Linked DNA regions of Drosophila melanogaster. The protein of the gene in region 2 interacts with the protein of the main gene of each other region in a pairwise test. Each region holds a gene or a part of one and is shown on either strand. Other genes may lie near its edges.

What was found.
Region 1: the proteins of CG13373 (region 2) and Pits interact in a two-hybrid assay, tested with the Drosophila melanogaster proteins (one large-scale study listed by BioGRID).
Region 3: the proteins of CG13373 (region 2) and Ppt2 interact in a two-hybrid assay, tested with the Drosophila melanogaster proteins (one large-scale study listed by BioGRID).
Region 4: the proteins of CG13373 (region 2) and CTCF interact in a two-hybrid assay, tested with the Drosophila melanogaster proteins (one large-scale study listed by BioGRID).

The regions. Positions count from the first base shown.
Region 1 is NC_004354.4:12,579,031-12,587,116, forward strand, and holds the start of Pits (protein interacting with Ttk69 and Sin3A), read right to left. Parts: upstream 4,164-8,086; 5' UTR 3,521-4,163; coding exon 2,542-3,520; intron 1-2,541. Other genes in the region: LIMK1 (LIM domain kinase 1), read right to left, coding at 6,909-7,219, 7,280-8,086.
Region 2 is NC_004354.4:474,225-480,729, reverse strand, and holds CG13373 (uncharacterized protein), read right to left. Parts: upstream 3,747-6,505; 5' UTR 3,584-3,746; coding exon 3,439-3,583; exon of another isoform or gene 3,124-3,438; coding exon 2,799-3,123; exon of another isoform or gene 2,718-2,798; coding exon 2,654-2,717; 3' UTR 2,539-2,653; downstream 1-2,538. Other genes in the region: CG32817 (uncharacterized protein), read right to left, coding at 637-700, 785-1,086; ebo (ellipsoid body open), read left to right, coding at 4,334-4,336, 4,438-4,961, 5,417-5,572, 5,650-6,032, 6,224-6,420.
Region 3 is NT_033779.5:11,275,321-11,282,420, forward strand, and holds Ppt2 (Palmitoyl-protein thioesterase 2), read left to right. Parts: upstream 1-4,977; 5' UTR 4,978-5,051; coding exon 5,052-5,195; exon of another isoform or gene 5,196-5,257; intron 5,258-5,296; coding exon 5,297-5,438; intron 5,439-5,500; coding exon 5,501-5,608; intron 5,609-5,812; coding exon 5,813-6,086; intron 6,087-6,151; coding exon 6,152-6,350; 3' UTR 6,351-6,600; downstream 6,601-7,100. Other genes in the region: cana (CENP-ana), read left to right, coding at 1-755, 817-1,017, 1,079-1,228, 1,285-1,536, 1,601-1,876, 1,935-2,015; CG33695 (uncharacterized protein), read left to right, coding at 2,793-2,810, 3,074-3,165, 3,255-3,353, 3,435-4,143; mre11 (meiotic recombination 11), read left to right, coding at 6,860-7,086. UniProt on the Drosophila melanogaster protein: Catalyzes the cleavage of thioester bonds from S-palmitoyl-CoA or S-palmitoyl-N-acetylcysteamine (unbranched structures) but does not have activity against palmitoylcysteine or palmitoylated proteins, branched structures or bulky head groups.
Region 4 is NT_037436.4:7,351,237-7,359,710, forward strand, and holds CTCF (CTCF), read right to left. Parts: upstream 5,478-8,474; 5' UTR 5,345-5,477; exon of another isoform or gene 5,224-5,344; 5' UTR 5,222-5,223; coding exon 4,831-5,221; exon of another isoform or gene 4,770-4,830; coding exon 2,806-4,769; intron 2,744-2,805; coding exon 2,642-2,743; 3' UTR 2,342-2,641; downstream 1-2,341. Other genes in the region: qm (quemao), read left to right, coding at 33-177, 231-491, 559-661, 735-862, 999-1,157; pst (pastrel), read right to left, coding at 6,302-7,139, 7,210-7,379, 7,455-7,544, 7,615-8,153, 8,232-8,474.

The DNA.
Region 1 (8,086 bases), about 12 Mb from region 2:
CGCTCGCACTTGCCGCCACTGCAGCTGCACGGAGCACGCAATGTCTAAATTACGAGAGAGTGGGAGTGGGAGAGGGAGATGCACTCCGCCCAAACACCCACCACCCTACCCCTCTTCACACCATCAAACCGAAGGCACGAACAGAATTCCTGGCGAACGCATTGGAATGGTCAGTCAGTAAATGCATACACACGAACTAGATACACACACACACTTAGCCGGCAACACGAAGCGCTGAATGAAACGAAACAAGGAAGAGGGGGAGGGTGGTAGGTGGGCAAATGAGCGGCGGTGTGGAGTGGGGGTGGCGCGCGCACGTTGCCGTTCCATTTTATCAGTTTGTACATACTAAAATATACATACATATAGCAACATACAATTTGTACAATTTTTCCTCTGTACACCCAGAAAATGTTTGTTATATTTTTAGTATATACACAGACGCAATAAATATGTACCCGAGTTGGTTTTTTTCCTGTTTTTTTGGTAATGAAACGAATACACACAGGAAGGAAGAAGCAGAAGCGTAACGTAAATACAAAACAACAAACGAAATTGGCACAGTGGGCGTTAGGTGGGAAATTCCAGAAATATGATTGGAATTATTTTCTGTCAAGTTCTTATTGCCTTTTGTCTGGAAGAAAGCAATTATTCCTATTGGCATTTGTTTTTAAAGATTTGAGCAAAGTCAAATTATGTTAACCACGTTATATGATTCAAAAACAAGCCAAGGGATAGAAATAATGGAATCTTAAGATAATAGTTCTTTTTCTTATTAAGTTAAGCTTTGTTTGCCCCACTGTTTGATGACGGCATCGGTATGAGCGAAAAAGTTTTTTTTTCATCTTGTCTTTAGTGTCTCTTTTTGTTGTTGTCACTGCAGCTCGTTCCGTAATTCGTATACCAACTAAAATTTATCTACACCCAGGTTCGACTGTGTGCGTATGTGTGTGTGTGTGCAACTTGTTATCGCATAGCGTAAAACGGAGAAACAGCAGAAGAAGCAGCAGCGAAAACCAAAACAAGTTTAATGACGTTTTGCGCGCGCAGACAAGAAAGAAAAAACACAAAAAACAAAAGGTACACACACCAACACCAGCGCACGAAACCAGTTTGGAAAGAAGAGAAAAGCGACAGAAGACGGAGGGAGAAAGAGATAGAGAGCGAGAACATTACAACGTCAGCGTCGACGATTTTTGCACGTCTCTGTTTATATTACATTCTGCGGCCCTTTTTTCGTGTGCTTTTTGCGCTTTTTTTTCTCGCCGTTTTTTGTTATTGCCATTGCGACTGTTACGTACGTGCATGTAAACGAACACGTAGTTGTGTGCGCGTGTGTGTCTGCGCGGTACATGCACATGTATATTCCCTATATGTATATTGGCATGTGCGCATGCCTTTTAATGGCAAGGGTTAGCAGCCCCTTTTTTCCACAGAGGGTTGCAAAATGCGTTTATACGCTTCTTTTTCTGTTTGAATGTACATGCATGCATGTGCACGTATGCGTGTATGTGTGAGTTATACATACGCATTGGGTGGCGATAAGGACGCGCTGATAAGCAAATGAGTTATCTAATCTCCAACACAACGCTCCTTATCATCCATGCAAACGTAAATGTGTACGTGCATATACATGAGAAGCGCAGTCTTCTTCTAGCTCGCCTTCCAGTAAGGAGAGATAAGGAGCAGGCAATCACGCCGTTTCACTCTGCCCTGAATAAGCGGTATGTGTGCCACTATATCGCCGCCTCTCTTCCTCCCACTCCCCCACCACGACCTTCCACCCACATCCAGGCTAGAGCGAGGCAGAAACAGTGCTCTGTATCCCGCGATCACGGCTCATATTAAAAAAAAAAAGGCGGGGGATTGGTAAGAAACGGTAAACAAATACAGTGGCCGCCAACTTTTTCAAACTTAGGATTTAAGCAAATTTCCTATGTTTCCGGAGGATAAAATAGTGTTTAATTTTATCCAGCAAATCTTAGATTGAAATTAGCAAAAAAAAATTTCCTCTAACTCACTTGTTTGTTTAAACAAGTTTTTATTTTTGTTTGACATTGGCTATCAAAGCAAACTGAAATATCACCCCTCGAAGAGTTTTGTATTTGAAATATTTTGATAAAATATACTTTAGAAGATATCAAGTGTTCACTGTGGCTGGGAAACAACATCCCCCTGGTCACTCCATTTTTTAATCCATATCGCGTATTTCCCACTGGCGATTCGATCCGATCGCTATAAGTGATAAGAAATCCATCACTGATAGGGGATTATCCCAAATCTGTTTTCCACCACGATAGATAGTGTTTTGTACTATCATTTATAAAGCCAAATATTTATCAACGCGGCACTTTTGAGACTCTGATCACTTTACTCTAATTATTATGAAAGGTAGTTTTCAAGGTAGTTGAAACTACTCCTGCTTTTCCCGAATCCCTACTGCAAATGAAAAATTTTCCCATTACTTGCTGCAGCAAAGTTCTTTCTATTGGGTAACCACTGTGCCAAGTATTTTGAATGATCTATGTCATGTTTGCTCACCTGCTTTGAAGGTCGATGCATCGAAACTGGGCGCTCTGACCGGCTGCTGCTTATCACGGAGTCCGCTAAGCTGACGCTCGGGCACATAGCTGACCGCCGCTGGCAGGGATTCGCCACGCGTCAATGGCGGTCTGCCGCCCACGCCACTTGGATCGTCCATGGCGCTGCGCTTGATGCCGGGCGGACAACCGCCGGATACGCCTCCGCCGGCGGATAGGGAGTTGCCAGCACTGCCATCTGGCGCCAGGCCGTGTCCCGACTGCTGTTGCTGCTGGCTTACATCCACATCGACATCCTCGCTGGGCGGACGCTTTAAATTCACGGATAGGGCGGGCGGTAGGCTGCCACCGCCACTGCCGGCGGTGGGTACGCCGCCGCCGGGTGCACCGCCACCGCCGCGGGTCGCATTTGGCGGCAGGTGGTGGGGCGTCATGTGTGAAATGCGTACGGGTCGTACGCCGCCACCGGGGGCATCCTCCAGCTTAACGGGATAGTCCAGTGGCGGACCGATGCGTGGCACTGGCATTTGATAGGGCATCTGATGGTGATGATGCACTGCAGCAGCGGCGGCGGCAGCAGCAACGGCATTGCCCAGCGAACTGAGCGAACCGGCGCCCGACGGACCTGGACCACCACTTCCGGGCGGAGCACCCGGTGGACCGCCGCCACCTCCGCCGCGATGGGAACCCGGTCCTTGTCCCGGAACTGGACCGACTTGTAACTGTTGTTGCTGCTGTAGGACGACGGCGGCCGCTGCAGCGGCGGACACTTCGCCGTTCTCATGGGAACGCTGCTGTTTGCTGGCGGGATGGAGACGCTTCATTTGGCGGGCGGCGTCCAGCACCGCCTCGATGCGATCGGCGCCCTCATAGTTGACGCAACCGCGGCACACCGCCTCCGAGAAGTCATTGATCATCGCCCAGGGCATGCGGGGTAAATCGCACAGATAGCAGTGCTGCCTTTTCGTTTGCAGCGACATCCTGCTGCGTTTCTGGAAACTGTCAACTGGCAACTAGCAACTGTCAACTGTCAATTGGCAACTGTCAATTGGAAGCCCTGGATGGGCTGGATCTGGAAATGGGTTTGTGCTGTTTTAGCTCACTGGAATGGCTAACTGTTCCTTCCTGCTGGATTCCCAATTCCTATTATTTATTATTTTCTCCTTTTTTTTCGCTTTCTTTTTTCTTGTTTCAGCTTCTTTTCGGTTGTGCGTTGTAGCTATTTTTCTTATTTAGCATTTGTTATTCATGTTTTCGTATTGATTTTCGCACACACGCACATATACACGCGCGCACGCACGCATATTTCACCGCGCTTCCACCCGAAAAAAATTCACTTATGTTTTTTCCTTCAGCTTCAGCTTCTTCTTCTTCTTCTTTTCTATTGTGCTGCGCCGCGCTGCTCGCCAACACGCACGCACACAGGCACACACACCACACACCACACTTAGGCACGCGCGCCGCAGAGTGAAAGAGAGAGGGTGCGCGCGAGTAAGCGGGACACGTAAATGTACGACGACGCCAAAAACGTGTAGGAACAAAACGAACGATGAGATCGCAGCGACGCAACGAATGACTGAAAAAGCGACCGGACGCCACACAGCTTGCTGATAGAGTGTGGCCTTGGCTGGTATGTGAGAATATACCCCAGGGGCCAAGCGAAATGTACTAAAAAATCTTCGCTGCCGCAATGGGAAATACCAAGAAAATACCTGAAATACTGGCTTATATCAGAGACACGAACCTTTCAGTGGACTTCAACCAGGGTTGCCAAAGTGGCTGAGACTGTAGCGAAGACTTCAACCATGATAAAGCTAAGGAAATTTTAAATTTTCTTTAAAATTTAGCATCATTTTGAGCATAGTAATTCTACTATTTCGTATTAATATATATAGCTTTTAATATATTGCTCCTAATATTACGCCCAAATATTAAAAATAAACCCTTTTGGCTGTTTAAGTAATTAAAAATAATATTTATTTTTATTTTTAACCCCCTTTGGGGCTACGACCCTGCCAGCGTACGTGCCTGCACGTCATATTCACGAAACGGAATCTAGTGACGAAGTCCTTCCCCCAAAGTCCGCCTGTAAGTATACCATGTAAAGTTCGTGGATACACATCCGTTTTTCGTATAGATACCGAACGTATGTACATAGGATACAGTTATGTAGACCTTGAATCTGGTATGCTCCGTCTCTTTCGCTCGGCGAACAGCTGACTTAACAGAGCTCTGTAACTGTTAATGAAATTAAAAGCCCTCATTCCTAGCAAAAAAAAAAAAAAAAACAAGGACATCCGTAAAGCACTGCGCAGGACCACAAACTGCAAGCATGTATGTGTATGCATATCGTTGCATATATGTACATATGTATAGGCGAAAATGCTTGGGTGTTCGTATTCCTGGCGTTTGGCCTGAATCGATTTCCCGACCATGGTCTGGGACAAATTCCGTATCTGTGCGTACATCCTGTTAAAAGGAAATGCGGAAAAAGGAGCCACCAGATACAGAAACACACGAACAAGCAACGACCTCGTAAACGGGGTCCTTTCCTTACACCCCCACCTTTCCATACAGTCCCGGCCATAAGTTTATGTCCGTGCACGCGCAACTGTACTCGCTTCTTAACATTTCATTTGAGATTTTATTTATGAAATGTTTGGCTCAATTAAAGATATAAAAATATTCTTTAAATTGCCACAAAATTAAAATTCCACAATAAAGACACTAGAAAGTTTAAAAGTTTTTTTTTAATTTCCTCTTTTATTAACAAAAAATGTTTTAAGATTAAAATCAAAAGAGAATCTACGAACTACGTTTATACACAAGCTTTATTTGTAATTACAGACCTTTCGACTCCCGAATAAGTAGGCAACAAAAACTGCATTAGTTATAAACTTATTTACAAGTGGGTAGAAAATGTTGCTATACTGATTATATATGTTCAACTGTTAAAAGGCATAAAGAATTGAATCGAAAATTCTATAAGCGTTACTCAATTTTCGAAAAGCAGGCGTATAAACGTAGTTACAAGGTGGTGTGGGGTCAAAATACAACACATTAAATTAGCTGCATATAAAAAATATCGCACATATTTGTTGTATATAGATAGTTAAATGCTAGATCGGTTCGGCGCGGCCACTGTTCTACTGGCATACGTCCGTATAACAAGGGCCCGACTCAAATGTCTTATGTAAGCAGTTAATTGCAAGCGTTTCGATCCTATATGTATATAGGTTTAGGTATATAATGGCTATATAAAGTACACAGTATAACAGTATTAGGCTTGAGCGTGTGCGTTTCATTTGTATAACAGTTAGCGTGTGTGTGTGTTTGTATGTCTGTTCGTATCAATTACAACTAAAATTGCCTTTGAGCAAAAACATTCTTATATATTTAGTTATAGGAGTTAGACTTATTCTCGTCAATACAAAAAAGTTTGTTTCTTAGCATTGTTAATTATTGTTCTTGGAATGAGGGGACGGGGTGAATGGGTCGAGAATCGATAAATAATAAATTAGATTTAAGCACTAACATGGAATACGTTTATCTATATAATTATGGAATAGATATACAAATACATTTATATACGCTGTTTATCAAAAAATATTTAAACCACAATTTTTCTAGTTAAAGTTCTTTTCGTTCCTTTTGTCTTTTTTTTGCGGGTGGGATCTCCCTCTCTCGAGGATTCTTCAGATTCGTTCGTTTTTCGCATCAACATCATGGCACAAGTTTCTTCCTTCTCTCTTTATCCGTCTTTCGCTATCTCTTTCGCAATATAACTTTATGTCAGACAATAGTGGGTTAAACAAGTATTTGCTTAGCTTTGCTTCTAGTTCAGTTTTTTTTTTTAGGTTAGTCGAGACAGTTGTTACCCTGTAATCTTACATACTATAATTATTCGCTTGGTTTATACAATCCGTGTAAATATTGCAACTTATTGGTTTTTCATTCCTATCAGGCACTTAACCTTCGTTCAGTTGAAACTTAAAATCAAATGTTGGAATCAAAAAAAAAATAAACACTTTCGTCGGAATGTTGATCTTGTTATGTGCGTATAACAGTTGCGTTTATAACAGCGGCACAGTTCACTGGTTCTTAATGTTACATTACACTTTAAAAGTCATTATGTATTTAAAAAAAAAAGTGCCTCTACATGTCGTGGAAATTTAATTCCGTACGATACAAATGGCGAATGGTTGGTTATAGAAGTTACAACAGTTATATCCTTCAAAGATTTACGCTAATTACGACAGTTTGTTTGTAGAACATTAAGCTGCTTACAACAGCTTCCTGAGTGGAACCACAACAAACTGCGCACAACACTTGACAATCGTTAATAGAGAGTATGGCTACTTCGTCTAGCTAGCAGCGCGTATTGAAATGCGTGCGAACTGGCGGCGATGGAGCTGCTCGCCTCCTCCGTTCACCGACCGCCGAATTCGGTGTGCCGGAGGATCCGATGGTCCGATGACCATTTAAGCTTCCAGCCGCTGTTCCTGCCGCACAACCGGCTCCTCCGACGGACGAGGCCGTCGCTGCGGCCTCCTCGCGCATTTTCTGCTTCTGATCGGTGAGTCGAGCGCCCAGGCGATGCACCTTTTCCGGACTCAGGATATTCAGGCGCGTCGTCTTCGAGGATTGTTGCTGATGCTGCTGCTGGTGAGTGGCGGCCGCTGCAGGTGCAAAGTGTGTGTAAGTCTTGATTTGTATAAAATTGTTGGTTATGCGCTTACCATTTGTCAGTCGCTGCGCCGTGGCGGCTGTGTGCCTCTGGGCCAGATGCTTGGTGGGTGATCCGGGCCTGCTGCTCCTCGTCGGCGAGACGCAATTGCTTGCGGGAATGCCTTGACTGCCCGTGCGACTTGGCAGTGGCTTCAGTGTCTTCCCTTTGTTATTGCACATTGGCAGGCGATGATTGCTGCTCGTTCGCTGCTGTTGGGCCGACGGAAGTGGCAAAGTTAGCTTGTGCTTCTTCGGCAGCCAGTCTGATGCGGATGGTGGACAACTACTATTGGTATTGGTCGTTGTGGTCACATTTCCATTGCTATTTAATGCGACACTTATGTTAAGGCTAGGCGGCAGGAAAAGTGGCGGATTGCTGCTCTGGCCGCCTTTGGTCGTTGCTGTGGCTTTGCTGCGTTTGGGTGCTGGTGTGGCCAGCTGTTTGGCAACTCCGCTGGAGGCCAGGTCCTCTAGGGACTCAGCATGCTGTAGTTTTTGCCCGACGATTGCCACTGGCGGATTCTTTCGACCGAAAATGGGCGTCTGATTGATGCGCTGCGTACGTGGTGGTGGCGGTGGGCAATTGTTGCCACCATTCAGGGCTGCAGCCTCGTGCTCCAGGCGCTGAAACATCTTAAGGGCCACCGGTGGGGTTTTGAAAAAGTTCTTCATGGAGTGCTGCGACTGGTTGAAGTTCCGCCGACTAGCCTCCTCCAAATGCTCGAATTTGCTGCGGCACTGATTCAGGCGGGTGCGCATATCATCGATGGCCAGACGATGGTGTTGTGACTCCTGGTTGCTGGGTTTATTTGTGCTCT
Region 2 (6,505 bases):
AAAGACTTGGCATATTCTGGTCATGCCCTATGACTCCTAGAGGCCCAGCGCAATCTGGCTGGGAATCGTACGGTCCCTCTCACAGGAGAGTCCCTGGATTGCCTTTTTGGCAGCATGTTGGATGTAGACATCAAGCACTTGATCAGCCACGGCGGCAGTTGGCAGCACAGACAACCTGATTGTAACAGCACAACACAGTAACCTGATGTCACCCCGATCAGCCTAGCTCAGTGTCCTGTGGCAGGATCTAATCCAGGCCATCATTAGCTATCGCGCGGAAAGAAAGCTGACACAGGACATAAGTGAAACGGAGGTGGATGGTTTGGCGGACTTGGGTCTGAAACTGGCCACTGTAATGGCCACAGTGCGCGCCACGCAGGCACTGGCCGTGAAAAGTCGCACCCTTCCTGCTTATCTTCACCATTCGCCAAATGGTAGCAACCGAAAGGCCCACGACGCTGTTCGAAAAGGTGTGTTTTACGTTAAGGAAACGCCATTGGCCAACTCAAGGTCATGATTTAAGTTTTCTAGCATTCCAAAGAATAGATCAAAGATTTTTGCTTAATGTTAAATACTATATAGCTCTATATTCTTTAAAACGTAATACATTTGACATTTGCTTGATTGTTTGATGCCCTAGCTGAGGAACATCTGGCAGTGCTCGCACAGCGGAGCCTCCTCTTCTTCAATTCGATTACCACTGGAAATAAGATGATGGTCGATTGATTTTTAAACTAACGGGTTTCCCTAGGGGGATGCTTCTTCCTTCTGGGACTTAACTCACAATAAAGTCACGCAGTTGCGGCAAATAAACTTGGCGCACTCGCCGCAGGAGTAGCCACACTCCTCGCAGAGATCCATCACGCAGTTGACGCATATGTCGTGGATGAGTGTTGGGAGCTGGCAGCAGCGCGATTTCAGGGGCGGATTCGACAAGTCGATGGAATGGTTGCGCAGAATGATGGAACCATCGCCCAGCAGATAGTACTGCTCGCATAGGGCGGGCTCCTCCTGGCCTGGCCCCAATGGATTCAGGGTATTCTGGCCCTGACCGTGCCCATTGCCGGTTGCGCCATCGAAAAGCATTTTGATTGTCTTCTCTGCAAAATAAATAGCAAAACGGAGATTTCCAGTTCAGGGTTAGACACCTCAAGGACGCCGCTCTTCCATCAGCTTCGATGGAACGTGACATATAACAGCAAAAAAAAAAGAATATTTACTTGATTTGTTTGAGGTCAGCGAGAAGTGCAATCAGAACCCTTAAAATTTCCAAATTGCAATGACAGTAAAATAGTGAGACCGATCGCGGGAAACAAGCTGACTTGACCCTATTCAAAATGCCAAAATCAGTAAATCACAAAATCGATTAGTTTCCAATCGATTCTTACTTGCAATTGCGAATTTCTGAACACTGTAGCAGTTTATTGCCAATCTCTTCGTGGGGTTATCCTCGTAAATTTGTGGTCGCTGCTTTGCTCCATTTTTTGTTCTCGTGTTTAACGGTTTAAACTGAACTCATCTTTGCATTGAGCAACAACAAGCCCGACATAACTGCACTCTGAGCGGCGCTGTCTCTCCGATCTCCCACCCGCTCCATTACAGGAAGGAGAGTAGGTGAGTTGGTGCAAGTGGGACAATGCTTTCCATACCAAGGACCCTCTTCATCTTTCGTGGTCTGCGGGGGTCGGCCATTTCTGTTCAAGATTGTCTGCCCATGGTCTCAGCTCTGAGCTACTCCAGGATGCCCTGCGGTCCAGCACCAAGCTTCTATTCGAATGCTTGGCGCGTTGAATTTCGCAAGGATAATAAGGATCGGACTAAGATTCGACGCTCTCAGGGGCCTGAAAAGCTGTAAGAAGAGTACAATTCGCAAACTGTTCGTCCTTTTGTGGGGCTGCATCTGACCTTAAAAACTCCATGCCTAGACGAACTAGGGATAGATGAATGCTTCCGACATATCTGATCATTGTCTTTAAGACTAACGAGGATTTCCTACTGCTCCTGCGCCGTCTTTCCTCACAAGAGGAGCAAATGGCACGCCCTGCGTCGCAAACGCAGCACACGGCGCTCCAGAATGTGCTAACTCTTTTGGCTCTTTGCCAAATGCTCGTTGAGCAGCGTGAAGGGAGCGGTGAGTCTTCCCCAGTACCTTATTCTCCTTCCCTAGTTAATAATGTTCTCTTTAGATCCTTAATGACCATTTCAACCGGAACCCAAAGACTTGGCATATTCTGGTCATGCCCTATGACTCCTAGAGGCCCAGCGCAATCTGGCCGGGAATCGTACGGTCCCTCTCACAGGAGAGTCCCTGGATTGCCTTCTTGGCAGCATGTTGGATGTAGACATCAAGTACTTGATCAGCCACGGCGGCAGTTGGCAGCTATTTGTGGATCTGTATAATGCACTCACAGACAACCTGATTGTGCTGTTAAAAGAACACAGTAACCTGATGTCAGACCGAGCAGCCCAGCCCAGTCTCCTGTGCCAGGATCTCATCCAGGCTATCGGCCGGAAAGAAAGCAGTTACAGGACATAAGTGAAACGGAGCTGGTTGGTAATACATTTGACATTGTGTCGTCCCAAATTTGTACTGCTTCAGAACTTAAAATTTAACAAGCACCGCGACTTTATAAGTGCTGGATTGTGTAAAGCCTTAGCTGAAGAACATCTGGCAGTGCTCGCACAGGGGATCCTTCTCTTCTTCAACTCGATTACCACTGGAAATAAGATGATGGTCGATTGATTTTCAAATAAAAGGTGTTCCCAAGGGGGATGCTTCTTTTAAGGACTTAACTCACAATAAAGTCACGCAGCTGCGGCAAATGAACCTGGAGCACTCGCCGCAGGAGTAGCCACACTCCTCGCAGAGATCCATCACGCAGTTGACGCATATGTCGTGGATGAGCGTTTGGCGCTGGCAGCAGCGCGATTTCACTCTCTCCAGGCGCGGATTGGACAAGTCGGTGCGAAGGTTGCGCAGAACGATGGAACCATCGCCAAGCAGATAGTACTGCTCGCATAGGGCGGGCTCCTCCTGGCCTTGTACCAATGGCTTCAGGGCATTCTGGCCCTGACCCTGCCTATTGCCGGCTGCGCCATCGAAAAGCATTTTGATTGTCTTCTCTGCGAAAGAAATAGAAAATCGGAGAGTTCCAGTTGAGTTAGACACTTAAAGGAGGGTTAGACACTCAGCTTCGATGGGACGTGCAAAAGAACAGCAAGAAAAAAATTAAAAAAAAAAATTTATGCGTAAATTCATCGTAAATTAGAGGTCGCTGCTTTGCTCAATTTTTTGTTCTCGCGTCTAACTGTTCAAACTGAAGTGAGCAACAAGTCCGGGATAACTGCGCTCTGAGCGGCGCTATCTCTCCAATCTCCCACCCCTCCATTACAGGATCGAAACAAGATAAGTTGGTGCGAATAAGGCAATTTACATACCATGGACCTCCTTCATCTTCCGAGGATCACGGGAGTCGCACATTTTCTGGTTCACAAATACCTTCCGCTGCGTGAGATTGTTGTTGGCGTCGCCATCCGCTGATCGCGATCGTTTTGCCGCCTTTTTACGGACCTGGTTTTCCATGATGAGATACTGGCAGATTGTTGGGCAGATCGGATAGGAACGTCTTGAAATATCAATTGAAAATCCTTTACTTTCAGGTTTCCTAACTTGCAGGCTAACAGTTAATCAGTGTCCCGTTTTGCTAACAATATTGCCTTATTAGAATAGTGCTACCATATTAAAAAATACATACAAAAGCGCCGACTGCGATCAATTTTTTTATCGTCTATCGATCGAATTTGCGGTTAGGCGGAAAATTCAAAATGTTTCTGGTTATGAGCTGTTTGGAATAGTCCAGCATTTTTAATTTATCAGATTAAAATGACTGAAAATATAAAATTTATTACATTTGTATAATATATATATATATATATATATATATATATTTGTATAACTATGGATTTGAATTGGATGCTTGTCTGCTCGCTCGTAGTTTTAGCTGAAACATTTATATAGCCAATTTTATTTAAAAAAAATTTTGTTTTAGGTAATTAAAATAAGAAAGGTAGAATTTTTTTATTTCAAAATACCCATAACCAACAACTATCGATATTTATTGACTATCGGCCAGGGTTGCCAGCCGTGCGGAATTTGTTCACTTTCCCGGAGTAGATTTTGGCCACCTTTTGTGTAAAGACACAAAGAAAACCATGCAATTAATGGACGCCGACTGCTGATGCGATCGGAATTAGAACCGCGAGCAAGCGGAGCTCACAGTGACCGTAACATCCAGATCACAGATACTCGGAAGGATCGTAAAGGACACGGAAAATGGTGAGGCGGGGGGCTCCGGGCCAAACGCACTATTTTGCCAGTGATTCAGAGTGATTCCACCTAACCGGGAATTGGTTTCCACCCACCCACTGTCTGTGCAGCACGCCGCATCTTTGACGACGGTGGAGGGACTGCTGCAGGAGTTTTATCAGCCCAGCACCTCCAATGCCCGGAAACGAGAGATCGAGACAAACCTCTTGGCCTTCAAGTCCCAGCCAGAGGCGTGGCAACTTTGCCTCCGTGTGGCCACCTCTTCCGACACCACGGAGAATCAGTTCCTCTGGTTCTTCAGCACCTCAACCTTGGAGCACACAATCACGCGGAGATGGACACAGTTGACGTCCACGGACAAGACTTTGCTGCGGGAGACCCTTTGGAACTCGTATGCCCAACTGGTAGCCACTCCAAATGTGGCCAAACGGCACAGGGACACACTGGCCCAGTTGATAGCCCTACTCGGAAAGAGGGAGTTCCCTGAACAGGACCCCAATTACATGCAACACTGCATGGAACTGACAAAAACACGGTTTCAACTTGGCATCAACCTGCTTAAGATCACCTCCGAGGAGGTGGTAAGCAACAGGGGCGACCTGACCACCGAATGGAAGCAGTACTTCTACTCCTGGTGGGTAAATAGAGCGAAGAGGCTAAAATCGTATGTTTTTTAAAAAAGGTTTTGTAGTCCCATACTTTTAATGTCTGTTTAAGACTACTTGGATTTTTAACTGAGTACGGCGTATCAGATGGTCGATGTTTTCGAGCATAGCGTATTTTTATTATTAACTTTGGTGTTATTTGTTTAAATACACGATTGCGTCGCACAACATAGAATAACACAATCCCAGACCTTGTCAGTCCGTTCTTGTTTTTGGTTTATTAATAAGTGTTATATTGAGATTGAGTATGTATATGGCATAACAACTAAAGTCAGCTGACCTCTTAAAACTCAACTAATTGAACCGTTAACCCAGTTATCATATTATATTGCTTTGTTGAGAGAAAGCACTATAATTACTGGTCAGTTGCCACAGCACTGTTCCTAACCCATTTTGTGCTCCCTTTTGCCGTGTGTTTCTGTAGCATCTCCATGTGTGTACCCGATGTTCTGGACCTGGTAACCAAGTATCTGCTAATCGCTGTATGCCACATCAATGGCAAAGACATCCAAACAACCATACCAAACACCCTCATGGACTTTAGTCTAACCTCAGCGCTGCCAAATGACAATCAATTAAGGTGGGTCATCATAACATTCAAAAGAGCATATGTTCATTACAACATTTTGTTATAACATCTCTCTATATACTCCGCAGTTCCTCAATTTTGGACCTGCTAGGATGTGTGCAGCACTTGGTCTCCTGGATACGCACTGAACTGATCTCGGAGTACTTCCTTATGAGCATACTTGACCTTTCCCAGTGGCGACCAGCCCATGAGCCCATCTCCTTGGCGGCTCTCTCTGTGTTGAATGAGCTCCTCTACCTCCAGAAGCCACTGCCCTTCCCAGGACCCTTGATGGGCGGCGTTACCAGCCTCCTGGAGCAGCACAATAACAATCGGCGGCAGAGCGAGATGTACAGCGACAAGTTTCGGGAGCTGCTGCGCCTCTACACCACCAAGTATGCCGCCAAGCTGATGCAGGAGCCAGACCTGCTGGAGACCTTTCTCAATCTGCTATACAGCTGCACCACTGAATGTGAGTCGCGTGATAAAAATATTGCCTTTTGAGATGCTAACTTATTTTTTATTTTGAGATGATCTTTTTGCTGTGTAGTCATAAAACACTCGCAATATTAAATGGGTTATGTGCATCTCGTGATCGAGATTTCGAAATGTCGTTGACAAAGATATATAACAAAAGTTATTAATTTTGTATTCCCCAAACAGTACACGGCGCCTTGGACTTCACCGAAAAGCTTGAGATCTGGACACCCATCATCAAAGGCATTGCCCAGCACCCCGCCAAAATCACGCGTTATAACAATGTGCTTACCCAGCTAGTAGATGAGATTATGAGGCGCACTCAGTTTGAGGCCAACAAACCCGAGCTAGAAGTGCTGGACAACGAGCTCATGGAGGACGATGTAAGTAGCTCTGATTTAAAGTGTTTTTAGGTGACAAATTTCAAAAACCAAGAAATAGACCTTGCATTAGAACGATCTTCATTTT
Region 3 (7,100 bases), on a different chromosome or scaffold from region 2:
CGAATACCATAAAAAAACTTGAGGAAATCGAAGCGGAAATGATTACACTAACCACTCAAAAGGAGTTGGAGAGGTGTGAAATTGCAGAAAAGCTGGAGACTTTCAAGTCCAAGGAGGCAGATATCAAAGAAGCTCTGCACTGTGCCCAGCTCAGGCTTCATGCCTACGATAAGCTGGTGTGCGAGTACGAGCGGCTAAAAGGCTGTCTTTCGGATTCAAATAAGTTGTCGGAAAATCTGCAGAAGAAAGTGGAGCGTTTGCATGCTGAACAGCTTGCTTTACAAGAAGGAATTTCCGGCCGAGATTCAGAGATTAAACAGCTTCGCTCTGAGCTCAAGGACGCCATTGATGAAAATAAAACAGTGAGAGAAGCAAAAGTAGGCCTGGAAAATAGTCTTAAAGCAGTACAGGAAAATATGTCTGCCCAGGAAGGTCAGTTTAAACAAAAGATTGCTGATATTAAGGGTTCAGTAGACGAGCTTCAGATTAAACTAAAATCTCTGCAAGAAGTAAGAGACCATCTAGAGTCTAGAAATGAAGAGCTTAAAAGAAAGCTAAAAGATGCTCAGGAACTACAGAACATGGTGGATAAGGAGCGAAAGCTCAATTCCTCTCTACGAGAAGATTTTGACAAACTGGAACAAACCAAACTCGATCTCGAAGAGCAGCTTCGAGCCAAGAAAGTAGAAATCGATCGCCGATCCAAGGAGCTTGGCGAAGTGACCAAGGATTGCGAAAATATACGATCCGATCTGGTAAGTTTTATTTATTTAACGCCTTCACTTTTGTATTCTATTATATTTTATTCTATACCAGGAAGCTCAAACTAATGATTTCCTAAAAGAAAGGGAAACTTTGAACTTGACTATATCCGATCTTCGGTTGCATAATGAGCAATTGCTAGAAACCTCGAAAAATTATCTATCAGACATAACAGCAGCAAATAATTTAAATCTCGAAATGAAGAAGAATCTTCACGATCTCACAAAAGAGTGCAAGAGCTTACGTTCCGATCTGGTAATAATTAATCTGGTAATCTATCTGGTTGATTACAATATAGGTAATTAAAATTTTTCAGCAATCCAAAGAAGAATATTTCCAAACGCAAAAGCAACTGTTGGATGAAACAATTTCTAATCTAAAGGAGGAAAACCGCAAGATGGAGGAAAAGTTGAGTTCGGGTAACAAGGCGCTCAAAGAGGATTGCGAAAAGCTCCGTTCAACATTGGTAATATTAGACTTGTCTTTGTAGGTTATTCGGTCGCTAATGAAATATTTATTTAGGAATCAAAGGAACTTATACTGCAACAGAATAAACAAGAGTTAGAGGAAAGGCTGACTGTTATTAATGAGAAGAATGGGAAAAACGCACTACTTGACGCCCAGTTGAAATCCAATGAAACCGCCTTTACATCACTGCGAAAGGCATGGATTAAGCAAAGTTTAGCCATAGAAGCGGCCAATAAAAGAAGCCTCGAGATGGAACAGAAGGTTGATAAACGTACGAGGGAGTACGAAGAACTACGATCAACTCTGGTAGAATAATTGCAATCAAAGGCTCTTATAAAATAGCTTAATGTTTTCTCTTTAAATCGCCTAGAAAACCAGGGAAATCAACTTTCGATCGGAGAAGGAACGCATGGACGGCACCATCTCTAGCCTGTTAGAAGACAAGCGTAATCTTGAGGAGAAGTTGTGCACAGTCACCGAGCTCCTGGCTAAGCTAAAGCGCGAACTGCCGGCTTTACACACGCAAAAAGTGAACGGAGGCGATGTGTCCATTGAGTTGAATTCCTCGAATGGATCGCCGACTCCTGCAGCTGTTCCAGCAACAAAGAAGCCCCTGGACTGCAATTCCGCTGAATGTGTGCCAAAGGTACGTATGATCTTCTAAATTTCAAGCATGTAATATTTTTTTTATTTCTCTCGTAAAGAAATCCAGCAGCCTAGAGACTGCGGAGCGGAAGAATCGACGGATGACGGCCTACGATGAGAACCGTAAGCAGTTTTGCTGAAACGACTTACGTGACGGCGGAACTACGACCGTTCCTTTAGGTAAGTTAAGGTTTGCTTGGCCGCGAAATCGTCTAAACTTTATGTGGTTTTAACTAATATTGCAGGTGGCAATTGCCACTGCGAGCAGCGGAGCTGCAAACAAAGACTGAGTTCGGACTGGAGGCAAAACGTTGAGTTCAACGATGATAAAAAAGATGATTAATGTTATCCAAGTATTAGGGATTTCTTTTGTTAGGTGTTATCTTGCAAACGGTGGAATTCCACATCATAAAGTTTTCTATTTATATTTACGCCCTAAGTATTTGTCAAATACTATCAATACAAAAATTACAAAAACAATCGTGATCGTAGTATTTAAATTTAAATCTGTATTATGCTGGTTTTTGTTTAATAGTTAAATTCGATAAATAGTTAAATATTGTTAATTAAGAAATGTTTCCTTCATCATGTGTAATAATATTTGGTTCATATGTATAGCATTGAATAAACTATTTACATTTTCTTAATGTTAAAATCAGATTCGCATAAGTTGCTGGTTCTAATAATAAAAGACATAAATTACTTAAATGTAAATCTAAATAAGCATAACGCTTCTTGTTTGAATTCCCGATTGCACCAATCGATAAGTCGATAGTAGCGCAAATACATATTCTAGTGTTGTGCATTGGAAAATTGACGGCCGCTTGAGTGTTGTGTACGGCGTCAGTGTTGAATAGCTGCGGACGCAAAACTACGTAAAATTACGACAAAAAAACAGCGCCCCGCGAAAAAAGGCCATGAACTCGGCAATCAAGGTAGGTTCAGCCGCTCCACCACATCCGCCGGCAGCTCCGACCGCGTTGATCCCGTCGCCAGCGCCTCCGCGCGTTGCAAGCGAGAAAAAGGCGGCGCGGGAGAGAGTCGAGAGTCATTCGTTTGTCTCACTCCTGCGAGTGGGAAATTTGTTGTTCCACCGTGAGTGGGCCGGCGGGCGGTGGGCAGGGGCGGTGCGTTTGTTTTGAATTTGCACGCGGTAACAACAAACTGACTCCGGATGCAAATCCGCATGCACTTGCAGGTGGGGGAGATATTCACGGCCGCCGGACAGGCGTTCAGCAGACTGGGCGATCTAACCATGCAGCTGCATCCCAATGCGGAGTCGCCATCGGGGTAAGTTGATTCTATGCGGTGGAGTCGCGAGTTTTGTGGACACTAATCGGAGTGTTTCTGTGTGCCTTGTTCCCTCGCCACGGCTGCAGGAAGTGGACGGACGAGGAGATCGACATGCTGCACTCGTCCATAATGCGCTTCTCCGACGACCTGACCAAGATCAGCCTAAGCATCAAGAACCGCACCGTGTAAGTGATCCTGTGCTCCTGGCGAGGGAACCGGCTGCCCAGTGTGTACGTGCTAGTTTTAATTGACCTTCCCCATTGCAGTTCTCAGATCCGCCAGGCGCTGAAGAAGAAGGCCTTCGAGGACGCCGGCATTCCCGCCAAGCAAGTGCCCGTCCAGCAGGTGCAACACGTTCTCCAGACGCTGCCACAACAGCAGCCGCAGCAGCCCCTTCAGCAGCCACCTCCTCAAGTATTCAAGTCACAGCCAATCGTGCAGCACGTACAGCTGGTGGCGCAGCCAAAGCAGATCATCCTGCATCCACAGTCTAATACAACTACGACGGGCACGACGGTGACTGTTAAGCAGTACCAGCAGATGCAGAAGGCTGCGGCATTAGCGGCAGCCCAGGCTGCAGCCTCGACGGCCAACAACACGCCCACCATCACGGAGAACATCATTATCCAGCAGCCCACTTCGACTACGGCGACAGTGGTGCAGCAGCCACATATGGTGTCCACCTGCTCGTCGACGCAGATCGTGGTGCCCGTTGTGTCGGCAGTGTCCACTGTTCCAACAGTACTCTCGCCCACGGTGGTGATTGCCGACGATGTGGTTAGCACCTCCAATCCTCCAGCGGCAGCGGCGACAGTAGGATCGCCAGCAGGGGCGCCAGCAGGCTTAAAGTGCGGACCAGACGTGTCCATGACCCTCAATCGCATCAATGTCCAGGAGAACGAGGTGGACGTGGAGGAGTGCCTGCCCGCAGAGGTGGTCAAGCTGGATTTTGTCAGCGAGGAGGTGGCCGGGTGAGGTTCGAGCCCTCGGAACGGGCTGGACTTCTTCTACTAGATCTCCGGCCGCAGAACGAATCACGTAACTTGGAACAGAACCGCTACAAATCCAGATCGAGAACTCTTAAGCAAAAAGGTTGAGATGCCGCCCTAGCCCTAAGTCTAAACTGTTAAGTGTTGTCATATTTGATATACCCTGAAATCACCTTGTTCCGGGCCCCGGATGACAAATGAATTGTGCGATGTGGAGGACGAGTCTGTGGATCGCCAGCCACAGAGCGTAGATATTAATTGCGGAGCGTATATGCGCCGCCTAGACTTAAATTTACGCAAGACACAATAGTGCAAAGTACATAACGACGATCGTGTAAGTTGAGAGTGAATAAACGAGCATTATTTTAAGATTCGGCGATCTCTGGGATTTTATTGGAGTTAGGAAAGCCCAAGGAGCGTAGAAATTTAGTTATTTGCAATGGCTTCTACAATCTCATTGCTGTAATTTGTACTTCATACTTTTATTTTGATCAGACTGTATTATAAAAGCATATATATAATTATATTTTTAAAGCACCCAATGCAAACTCAATTGTGTTTCTAATGGTCCGCTAAATTATATTGCATTTTATCTTTATTTGAATGTACCCATCCAATTTATGGGACCTATTTTATAAACCTTTCCTTTTAAATGCACACCACGTATTTTAAATTCATCCAATTATTGTACAATGAAGTCTCGAGAAATTTCGAATGCATTTTCAAATTTCGTTCTGCTCATAATTGCGCTCGCAACCCATACATTGCCATTCGCATGTCGGATTTCAAATCCGCACTTTCAGAATTTCCAAAGCGGGTAGCAAGAAGAAGAGCGGCTAATAAAGATACGGATACATCAACAACAACAGTCGGAAATCCATTGTTCCCCACAAAATGAGACTTCGTTTGCAAGTCCTGGTGGCCCTGTTAACCTGCTCGTCCATTTCCGTCTCACTGGCCTACAAACCGGTGGTCATACTCCATGGAATTCTATCAGGAGCCGAATCGATGGCCTCTCTGGTCCGGGAAATCGAAGAGGTTTGTTTTTCGATTCCCCTTTGTTATTGTTTACAGTGGCAAGGTCGAATTTGACGCAAACAACGCAGTAGCACTGATAAACTCATTTCGTCCGTTTGTAGTTTCATCCTGGCACTATCGTCTACAACTGCGACAAGTTCAATGGATGGTACAGCTTGGAGAACGCCTGGCGACAGGTCGATCAGGTTAGGGATTATCTCAACGAGGTGGGCAAACTGCATCCAGAGGGCATCATTGTGCTGGGTAAGGCAGCCGATTTTCATTAGAGTATTTTCTTTTAGTTACCAATACTATGCCTTTTTCAGGATACTCACAAGGAGGCCTTTTGGCCCGGGCGGCCATCCAAAGTCTGCCCGAGCACAATGTGAAGACCTTTATATCTCTATCCTCGCCACAGGCGGGGCAATACGGCAGTAAGTGAGATCAAAGTTTAAACCAATGAGTAAATTCTATTTATATAGATGCATAACTGCGTCACATTTTTCCGGGCTAAACTCTTTTAAAGCTTACAAGAAACAAATATATTATGTAACTGTGTTCAAAAATTACGCAGTTGGGTTATAAAACAAAGGGGGATCACAATGGTTCAAGTTTTTATTTTTTGGTAATATTTTCAGCTAGCTTCTTGCATCTAATCTTTCCCGACTTGGCGGCCAAGACAGCCTTCGAATTGTTCTACTCGCGCGTGGGACAGCACACCTCGGTTGGTGGCTACTGGAACGATCCGCAGAGGCAGGATCTCTACCTGAAGTACAGCGAATTCCTGCCACTGATCAATAATGAGAAGAAGACCTCCAACTCCACATCTTTTAAGATGGGAATGGTGCGTCTAAATAAGTTGGTAATGATCGGCGGACCCAACGACGATGTGATTACTCCGTGGCAATCGAGGTATGGTTTACTTAGTCGGATATTATCAAAGGTGAAATAACCACAAATCGTATATATTTCCTCAGCCACTTTGGTTACTTTGACGAGAATATGGATGTGATTCCATTTATTAGGCGACCGATTTTCACCAGCGACTCCATTGGCATCAGGACGCTTCAGGAGGCCGGCAAGCTTATCATTGTGGTCAAACCCCATGTTCATCATCTTGCCTGGCACACGCGAAGGGATGTCATCCACGAAGTGATATTTCCATATCTGGACTGAATAAGAAACCAAAACTACTGAACTATACTGAGCGATCAAACGGCTGTGATCGGAAAGGCGGACAAAGGCTCACTCTCATCAATAAGCATTAATGTGAAGTTGCTGCCTGGGTAATTAGGCTACAAACATGATCTTTTATTGGTAACTAAGCTATATATTTTTAAAACAGCCTGCGTATTGCAGCAGAGATTTTTACAAAAACTCATAAACTACTTATAAATAGCCAAATAAAGTGAAACTAGAAATTTTTAAATTGCAATTTCAATGATATATATTTGGATATTAAAATGAATCGTTAAAGTTTATATTTCATGTCGTCAAATTTGTTTGTTGAATTTAAATACTTAAATCTCCCGCGCATTTTTAGTTACTGATAGATAACAATAAGCGATAACTTTACTTATCGCTTAATGAAGAATCGATATTTAATCGATACATCCGCGGTCTATGTGATGGCGAAATAGGGCGTAATATCTTATTTTGTGAATTTTTAAGTTGCCCAGTTAACCATGAATGGCACCACGACAGCAGAGCAGGATGCTGACAACGTGATTCGCATCCTGGTGGCTACCGACAACCACCTGGGCTATGGCGAAAAAGACGCGGTGCGCGGCGAGGACAGTTTCACGGCCTTCGAGGAGATCCTGGAACTGGCGGTGTCCGAGGATGTGGACATGATTCTGCTGGGAGGTGACCTCTTCCACGACGCCGTGCCCAGCCAGAATGCGTTGCACAAGTAGGATTTGCATG
Region 4 (8,474 bases), on a different chromosome or scaffold from region 2:
TATACATGTATGTTCTTGATACTAACTTACAGCATTGATGATATTGAAGACAATTCGATCCTTCGCAGAGGTGTGCCCGTGGCGCATTCCATCTACGGCGTGGCCAGCACCATAAATGCGGCCAACTATGCACTCTTTCTGGCGCTGGAGAAGGTGCAGCAGCTGGATCATCCGGAGGTACGCAAATCCACCTCTACTATGAAGCTCAAAGTAATCCGCGTTTCTTGCAGGCTACCAAGGTGTACACCGAACAATTGCTGGAGCTGCACCGTGGACAGGGCATGGAGATCTATTGGCGCGACAGCTTCACGTGTCCATCCGAGTCGGATTACAAGCTGATGACTGTGCGCAAAACTGGCGGCCTCTTTATGCTGGCCATTCGCCTTATGCAGCTGTTCAGCTCCAACAAGGAGGACTATTCGAAGTTGACGGCTATATTGGGCCTGTACTTTCAGATACGCGACGACTATTGCAATCTGAGTCTGAAAGAGGTGAGTGTATAGATTGGTTGGCAATATGCATAAGTCATTGTTAATCTGTGATAACATTCCGATGTAGTACACGGAGAACAAGAGCTTCGCCGAGGACTTGACGGAGGGCAAGTTCGGCTTCCCGGTAATCCATGCGGTTCGCACCCAAAAGCAGGATAAACAGGTTCTACGTAAGTCCAACGTCTTGACCTCAACCAAAGGCTTTTCACTCATTAAGCTGATGGCTTATGGTTATATCCACAGACATATTACGCCAGCGCACGCACGACATTGAGGTCAAGAAGTACTGCATCACCTTGTTGGAAAAGCTGGGCAGCTTTCAGTATACACGCAAGGTTCTGGAGTCGCTCGACGCAGAGGCTCGGTCGGAGGTTAGTACTTGAAGACAAGCAATGGGAAGTGGAAGTTGCTTGGAAGTCTTGATGATGTTAAAAGTAGAAATTCGCACACATCCCATCGTTGCTACGTGTTTTGTGCTAAACTAAAGTAATCTCTCAACCCACACAGGTGGCTCGTTTGGGTAGCAATCCGTACATGGACCGCCTGCTCAACAAGCTGCTGTCGTGGAAGACGAGCGATAGCGCCAGCATCACGCAGTCGAACCAGATCAATCACAACAACGTCTCACGCAGCAGCCCCAACCAGAACACGCTCAATTGCAATTAGCAGCCAAAGAGGCAAAAGAGGGAGCAGTCGTGAATTGCGAACGGCAGAGCCTCTTTTGCCGCCAATCCGGGACAGCAGCAGGCCAGCAGCCAGCCGACGCCTGCGTGCCTCAGTGCGCCCCTGTTGCGTTTCCTGCAGAAGCTGAAGATATTCTGAGATTTATGTTACCCTTTGCCAAACCGAAAAGCCCACAGAGAACCCCTACCTTACTGTCAACCGAAACCAGAGCGATGAGAACGGAAATAGGAGGAGGATAGGATTTGGATTTGATAGTGAATCGGATGAAATGGGATGGATAACAAAACCAACAGCAGCCTTACAGAAAATTGTTAAGCCAAAAGTAAATTGATATAAGCCAAGCTTATCGTTGAGCTAGCAAAGAGCCATATTACAGCTTTCCAAGAATTTGTTTTTTTACTTTTACATTTTACTTTATACTTTTAATTTAGTTTTGCTTCAAAGTTACGTAGTTAGTTAGCTCGTTTAGTTTCCCCAGTTTTAGTTTCGCCCAACGAATGGGAGAGGGGGGGGGGGGTGGGGATCAAGCAAATCTCGCAGAGCATTACTGAATTATAGAATATGCAATTTTTTAGCTCTTGTATTTCTAAGTGTGTTTCGTATTCGTAACTCAATTCTGCAAGCAATTTTCAATTTCTAAGTGTCATTTTATCAAATCTAACTCACTCGGAACTCAATGTGCACTTCCTTTATCGACGTTGTTCCATTTTAATTGTTATACAAATGCGATTCGTATACATACATACATATGTACTATTAACGACAAATTGTTAATGTTTTATGCAGACACTATAAAATCAACACAAATGAACGCAACTATATATATTGAAATAATGATAATGATGCACTGCACGGCAGGTTTTTGCACATTGCACCACCTAAAAAATATATACATATATTATATATAAAAATATATATATTTTTATTGTAGTTATACACATGAAAGAAACAAAAAGAAATAAACGGCAAGAGAAACCGGAAAAATAACAAGAAAATTAACCAGATTGCTGAAGTGGAAATGGAAAACTATAAACTATGCGAACATTTTACGGTAGAAACGACAACTAATAGCCGAGAATTTACAGTGCACGCCCAGATGCAGCTAAACGCAAACGCACCTAACATTTTGCCCATATACTATATACTACTAATGAAAACATTGAAATATATGTAAATGTATTTAAATAAATATTTATGCCAAGTTGTCAACTAAAGTTTAAGTGTCGGGGATCATTTACAAATAGTCGCCATATCGGCATGTTAACTGCTTATCCAGAATTATACATTCATTTAGAAAGAATACATTTTTAATATCCATTTCTTAACCTAGTAAAAATAGGTTTCCTAACTGTTTTAAATGTGTATTTAAATAGAAAACAATGTAACGTAGAAATACGTTATTGTATGCTTGGTATGTACATAAGTTAGTCATAATTACTTATCCATTAGCTTTTGTTTTCAGGAGACTAAGAGTCCTGCTCAATCATATCCATCAGCTGCAGAAACTCCTGGGAAGCGCCATCGACCTCGTTTTCCCCATCGCCATACTCCTCATAATCATCGTCGTCCTGCATGAAAACCAAATTTTTGAGTAATGGAACAAATGCCAGCTAAAGTTTTTGCAACTAACCTCGAAACCAAAGCAGTTTTTGGCACTGATCTTGGAGTTGGCGCTCGGTTCGTGCTTGACCAACACCTCCTCGTCGCCATTAACCAGCTCTACGACCATTACCTCGCCATCATCCCCTTGCCATTCCACGGTGAAGTCCGAGTTGTCCGGCTCCTCCTTGATGTGGAACGTCTTGGTGCCCCGTTGACTTCGGAGGCGTTGATTGATGATCATCGGCTGCTTTTCGGAGGCGGCAAGCCTGGCCTGTTTGTTGATAATGATAGGTGCTGGCTTGATTCTCTGACGGATCGGATCACTGACTATGGTTTCCACATCATCATCGGCGTCTTCAGCCTCCGAGTTCTCCGGCTCGATTTCAGCCAAGTCATAGCTCTCTGGGTTGTCATCCTCTTCGTTTTCCTCCTGGTCCCGGTCCATATCCACATACTGATCCTTGATCAACGTGATGACAGTGCCATCTTTCTGCAGCCGCACATTGCGGCCCAATTTAAGGCGACGCCGCTTTTCGCGAGCATTCGCCGAATCATCGTGAGTCTCCATGTGTCTCATTAGATTACCCTTGTGGGTAAACTCCCGCGGACAACTCGGACACTTGTGCAGTTTCTCGCGCGGTTCTGGTGGCTGATACTCTTCGTTGTGCACGAGATTCATATGGCGGCGCAGCAATTGACGCTGCCGGAAGGCCTGCGGGCACTGATCGCAATGGAACGGCTTTTCGTCCAGGTGGATGAGCATGTGTGAGGCCAAATGGCGTTGGGTGACCGAAGCGTAGCTGCACAGCTTGCAGCTGTAACACTTTTCGCCCTCGTGTGACTTAACGTGCAGCTTGTATTGATAGCGATCGGGCAGCTGCTGGCCACAGCGCCGGCATGTCATTGGCACATCAGAGGTGTGCATGTGTTTAATGTGAACGCGCAGGTCAGCCTTCCGACCGCAAGTCGTCGGGCAGTAGTTGCACTGAAAGACGGGCTTGTCGACCACGCTGTGGATGAGCTTGTGGGCCTTTAGTGAGTTAGATTGCGTAAATCGCGACTTGCAGATGTCGCATTGGTACTTCTTCTCGCCGGTGTGGATAACCATGTGTCGCTTCAGCTTGAACATGTCCTGCGATGCGTAGGTGCAGTGCGGACATTGATATGGTCTCTCGCCCGTATGGCAGGTCATGTGGCGGCGCAGTTTGGTCAGTTCCACGCTGGCGTATGTGCACTCCGTGCACTTGTGCGGTTTTTCCTTAGTGTGCTTGTAGCGAGTGTGACGGACCAGCTCGCCGCTGGTGGTGAAGGCGCTTTCGCAGAGCTTGCACTTGTGCGGCTTATTGCCCATGTGCGTGTTTATGTGGTTTTGCAGGCCCACGTTCGATCGAAAGGACCTCTCGCAGATGGAGCACTTGAAGGATGGCTCGACGTCATGACTTCGTGAGTGGCGCGTGATCAGAAACTTCTTGCTCGCCGTATACGGGCAGTGTGGGCATGAGTACTTATGTCCCGATGCATTCGAATTCTGGCTGGTAGAAGAAGCTGTCTTCAGCTTCACCTCCTTGTTGCTTAGCACAAAGTCTACGTCCTTCTTGTCGGCATTCTCATCCTCTGTCGTCGCATTGTCCTCAAATTCGTAGACCTCAGCCTCGTTTGGCGTCAGCGTAGCTGTTGCTGCCTCTACGGCAGCTTCGTCTACGGTATAGTCCGACAATTCTGTCACCATTGAACTGATGTCGGGCTCATCTACCAGCTCCTCGAGCTCCCGCTCCAAGTCCATGGGTTCAGGCTTCGGTATGACAGGGTTCTTTCTAGGCCTGCCCCTGGGTGCCGGTACTTTGACCACTAATGCCGGTGGCGGTGGCATCGCCGATTGCTTCGCCTTGGCTGCAGCTGCTCGGGCTGGTCGAACGCTAATTGCCTTGGGTTCTGGGGGAGGCTTCGAAGTAGTCGCTTTCGGTGTCGATTTGGCTGGCCGCAAATTGATGGCTTAAAAAGAGTCGAGCAAGTGATACAAATGCACGCACATATATGGCAAAGGGTAACTCACATTTATTGGTGGCTGTACTGACCACGGAACGTGTAGCTTTCCCCGGCTTGGCAGCCGCCTGTTTGAGCTTCTTTTGTAGCTCCTTTTGCTTCTTGGGCGTAGTCTTGATATAGCAGTTGCCCTCGTCATCTATGAAATACTTATCCTCGTCGTCCTCCTCCTCCTCCTCCGCTTCCTCCGCATGATCCAAATCAGCCTCCGCCTCCTCCATCGGTTTCGATCCACCAGCCTCCGCACCATTTTCATCCAAGTCGATGGCCTCGGCGCTGATGGCCTCCAAAATCGTGTTTACCACCTTCTCATCGCTGTTGCCTTCGATCTCCTTATGGAAATTGTTGAGGAAGGTCTGCAGATCCTCGGGGTCCTCGTCCTTTTTTGTCCTCCTTGGCATTCCTATGGACAAATTGGATTTGTTTTGGTGGCGACCCACAGCGGATGACCGGGATCCCGAAGAGGGCGCTTATCGATTTCTCGCAACGACCAATTGTAATCCCGCTTGATTCAATTCACCTACCGACACTTGGTTGCCAATAAAAAATATGTTGAAAGGGACGCCGGTTGTCGTTATTGTTGTTAAATCTACAATTTAATTTGCGTCCACATGAAACAGCTGCCCATTTCTAATAAAAGATGGCGACATGTAGCATCAGTACCGCCAGCTATCGATAGTTCGATTGGTTTCGTATCTTGTCATCTCTATATAAACTATCTTTAATTCTTGATAACAGAAAATATATAATAACGAATCCACGGTAATTTATTAGATAAAAAATATAATCTGTATTCTTTTGGATACTGGATAAGCCAAGGATTTGGGCTGCGTAAGCGGTTTTGATGTCGCGAAAGCCCCTGCGGATGTTTATGTCTGTTGGATTGGGTGCCCTCTTGAGTGGATGGATCGCTCATGGGTACTGATCAGCCGAGAACTTGAGCTGCGTTAGCGGTTTTGACCCTTTGGTGGGAATAACGGATTCGGCAGCAGATGTTAATGGTTACATTAGGGCAGGCTGGATTTGTTATTGTCACCAGAATTGGGGTTGTTCTTATGGGATACTTGAATTTATGACTTATATTCTAAGGCATTCAATGATTTGGTGGTATGGCTGTTGCTATTATACCATAGTATAGATGACATCAGATTGTAAATTTAGGAATTACTCTTAAAGATTAAAAAAAATCCCCTTTACACAATGAATGATTCACATATTCTGTGTTCGAAAACCGGAAATCAGAACCATTCCGGTTCAAAATTCTCCTTTTATTACAATTATTTCAACAGGGTTAATAAAATCTTTATTTAAATGCTAAAACAATTTCATCTTTGTCAATTTGTGCTCATATTAAGTAAGTTATCCCATTGATTATTTGCGGAACTAGCTAACGTTTCTTTGTGGTTAAACAATTGGGCATCAATTATGACATGCTGATGGCCCTTGAATTCTAATGTTAAACGAACCATTTCGTTAAACACTTACAAGGGACAAACGCTGAAGTGGCCGATACATTTCGGACACTTCTGAAGGAGACCCGGGAACGCATTTGGATTCAGGGACATGAAGTACACCCTTACGGCTTCTACGATCTCACAAGTGTGATCCGCAATAACCGAAAGTTGCACGTCCTCGAAGTTCCGTAAAATGTACAACAAAATGCGGTAAAGAACGGATTCCGTTGATATAAAGAACTTTAGCACCGAGGTGAGGTCTTCCAGCATGGTGTCCATGAAGGCTCTGGTCAATAGCATTATATGGTCAAAGACTTTTGGATCAAGCTTATTGGCCATGATGTTGATTAGGCTCTCAAAACTTTCAGCATTGATCACGTGCTCAAATATGATTTTTCCGTATTTCTCCAGTACGAAAACAACACCGCCCACCAACACAGAGCTTAGCTCCAAGGCGAACACGCCGGCGGCATAGGTACTGGGTTCCTGTCGAGGATGGGATGTGGGCAGCGGTCCGATTAGACGGGAAACCTGATTAACGCCGCCCAGTTGAAGGCGACCAGAACCCGCATGGCTACCGGGAATGGGCTGACTAACTTTGCCTAGGACATTCCCTCCTTGGTTATGTTGTACACTAGCTCGCAATTCCGCACCCGTCGTCTGCACATCGCCATTTAGTAAAAATCCTTTGCCATCGGGTGCGAATGAGTATCGCACGCCCTCCTGATTCAAGTTTTTGTTGATCTTAAAAAGATCATTAAACTCTTGTGGCGAAATTTCGTTTACGTTGCGTATAATGTCCAGTTTGCCGCGAGTGTTGCCTTGCATCCGAACGGTCTCCTTGGCAGCCTTGTCAAAGGTTCGCCTGATGGTAAAAAAAATACAAGTAGAAACTCTTGTTTACGACAGAATGTATCTCATTGAACGTTTTTTACCGCTGCCTATTAGAAAGGTTTTTACGATAGTCGGCAATATTAGCATTGCTTGTCTCATTAATTATGGTCGAAGCCAATTTAAAGTTGTAGACGCTGTGCGTGAGCAGCACCAACGAAGCGGACAATTGCAAAACATCCATCGCAACTATTTCGTCACCGTCTTTTGCTTTCTGTGGAAGATCATAAATTTCATAAGTTTAATCTATCTAGCCTAATCTAATCACAGTCTAAGTTTCGAGACTTGCCAATATCAGATCCAGCACACCATTGGCAACTCCAGTGCCCGATACCACAATCGAGGATATGTTCATGCTATTCACAGTCAGTTGGGTGATCTATGTGAGTACATATTTAACATTTTTATTCCATTGTTGATTGCGTGGGGGGGGGGGTTTAAGGACTCACCGCTCCCACCTCGCGTCCAGCATTTGTGGCCGTTGTCAAGACTGTGGTGGCCCCAGCCGCTGCCAATCCCACAGTGCCACCAGCCACGCCCAACCAGTGACCACGCGCTTCGCGGTCCGTCACATTGATAGACTGCTCATGTTGGCTGCGATCGAATAGCTTGCTGCCAGACCGCGATGCGGCGTATCCAGCACTGGCCAAACCTACTACTCCCGCTGCGCCCATCAGCGGAGCGGATACGGGCAGCGTTAGCAGGGCAGCAATGGGCACACAGGCAGCAAAAAATCCTCCGACTGCCGACCCAGTATCCAGGTAGCCCAGCACCTTCCTGTTGGTCGTGCCCGCCGGCGTTGTGTACTTATCCAGACGTACTTGATCCCTGACCAAGCGGTAAATACCCTTCTCTGGGGCCACCATCACTCCGGCAGGCAACTCGTTGGTGGTCACATACATCTCCCAGTTTTGGTAGACCCGACCAAGCTCGTCGATAAACAGATTGCAGCAATTCGAGCTGACGCTGCTGGTGCCACTACTGCCAACTGAGTATTAAATGGATCCATTGATAGATAGATAGGAAATATATTGTAAATTGCATACGTATGCAAAGGATGACTCACCGACGCATCGACGGGCCCGAAAGACTGGGTGCACGCTGAAGACTCTGGCGTCCTCGGCGCGATTGACGTCCGTTTCGTCAGTTACCACCATTACGTAAATGATCGCCGTCAGCGATTGACGGTTGGTATACTTTCCTGGAAAACAATTGTACGCAGTTAAGGCAGCGAAAAAATGTACTATACTATATACAATCTGTAAGTCCAACTCACGTTGCTGCCAAACGGAATCGAAAATGATCTGAC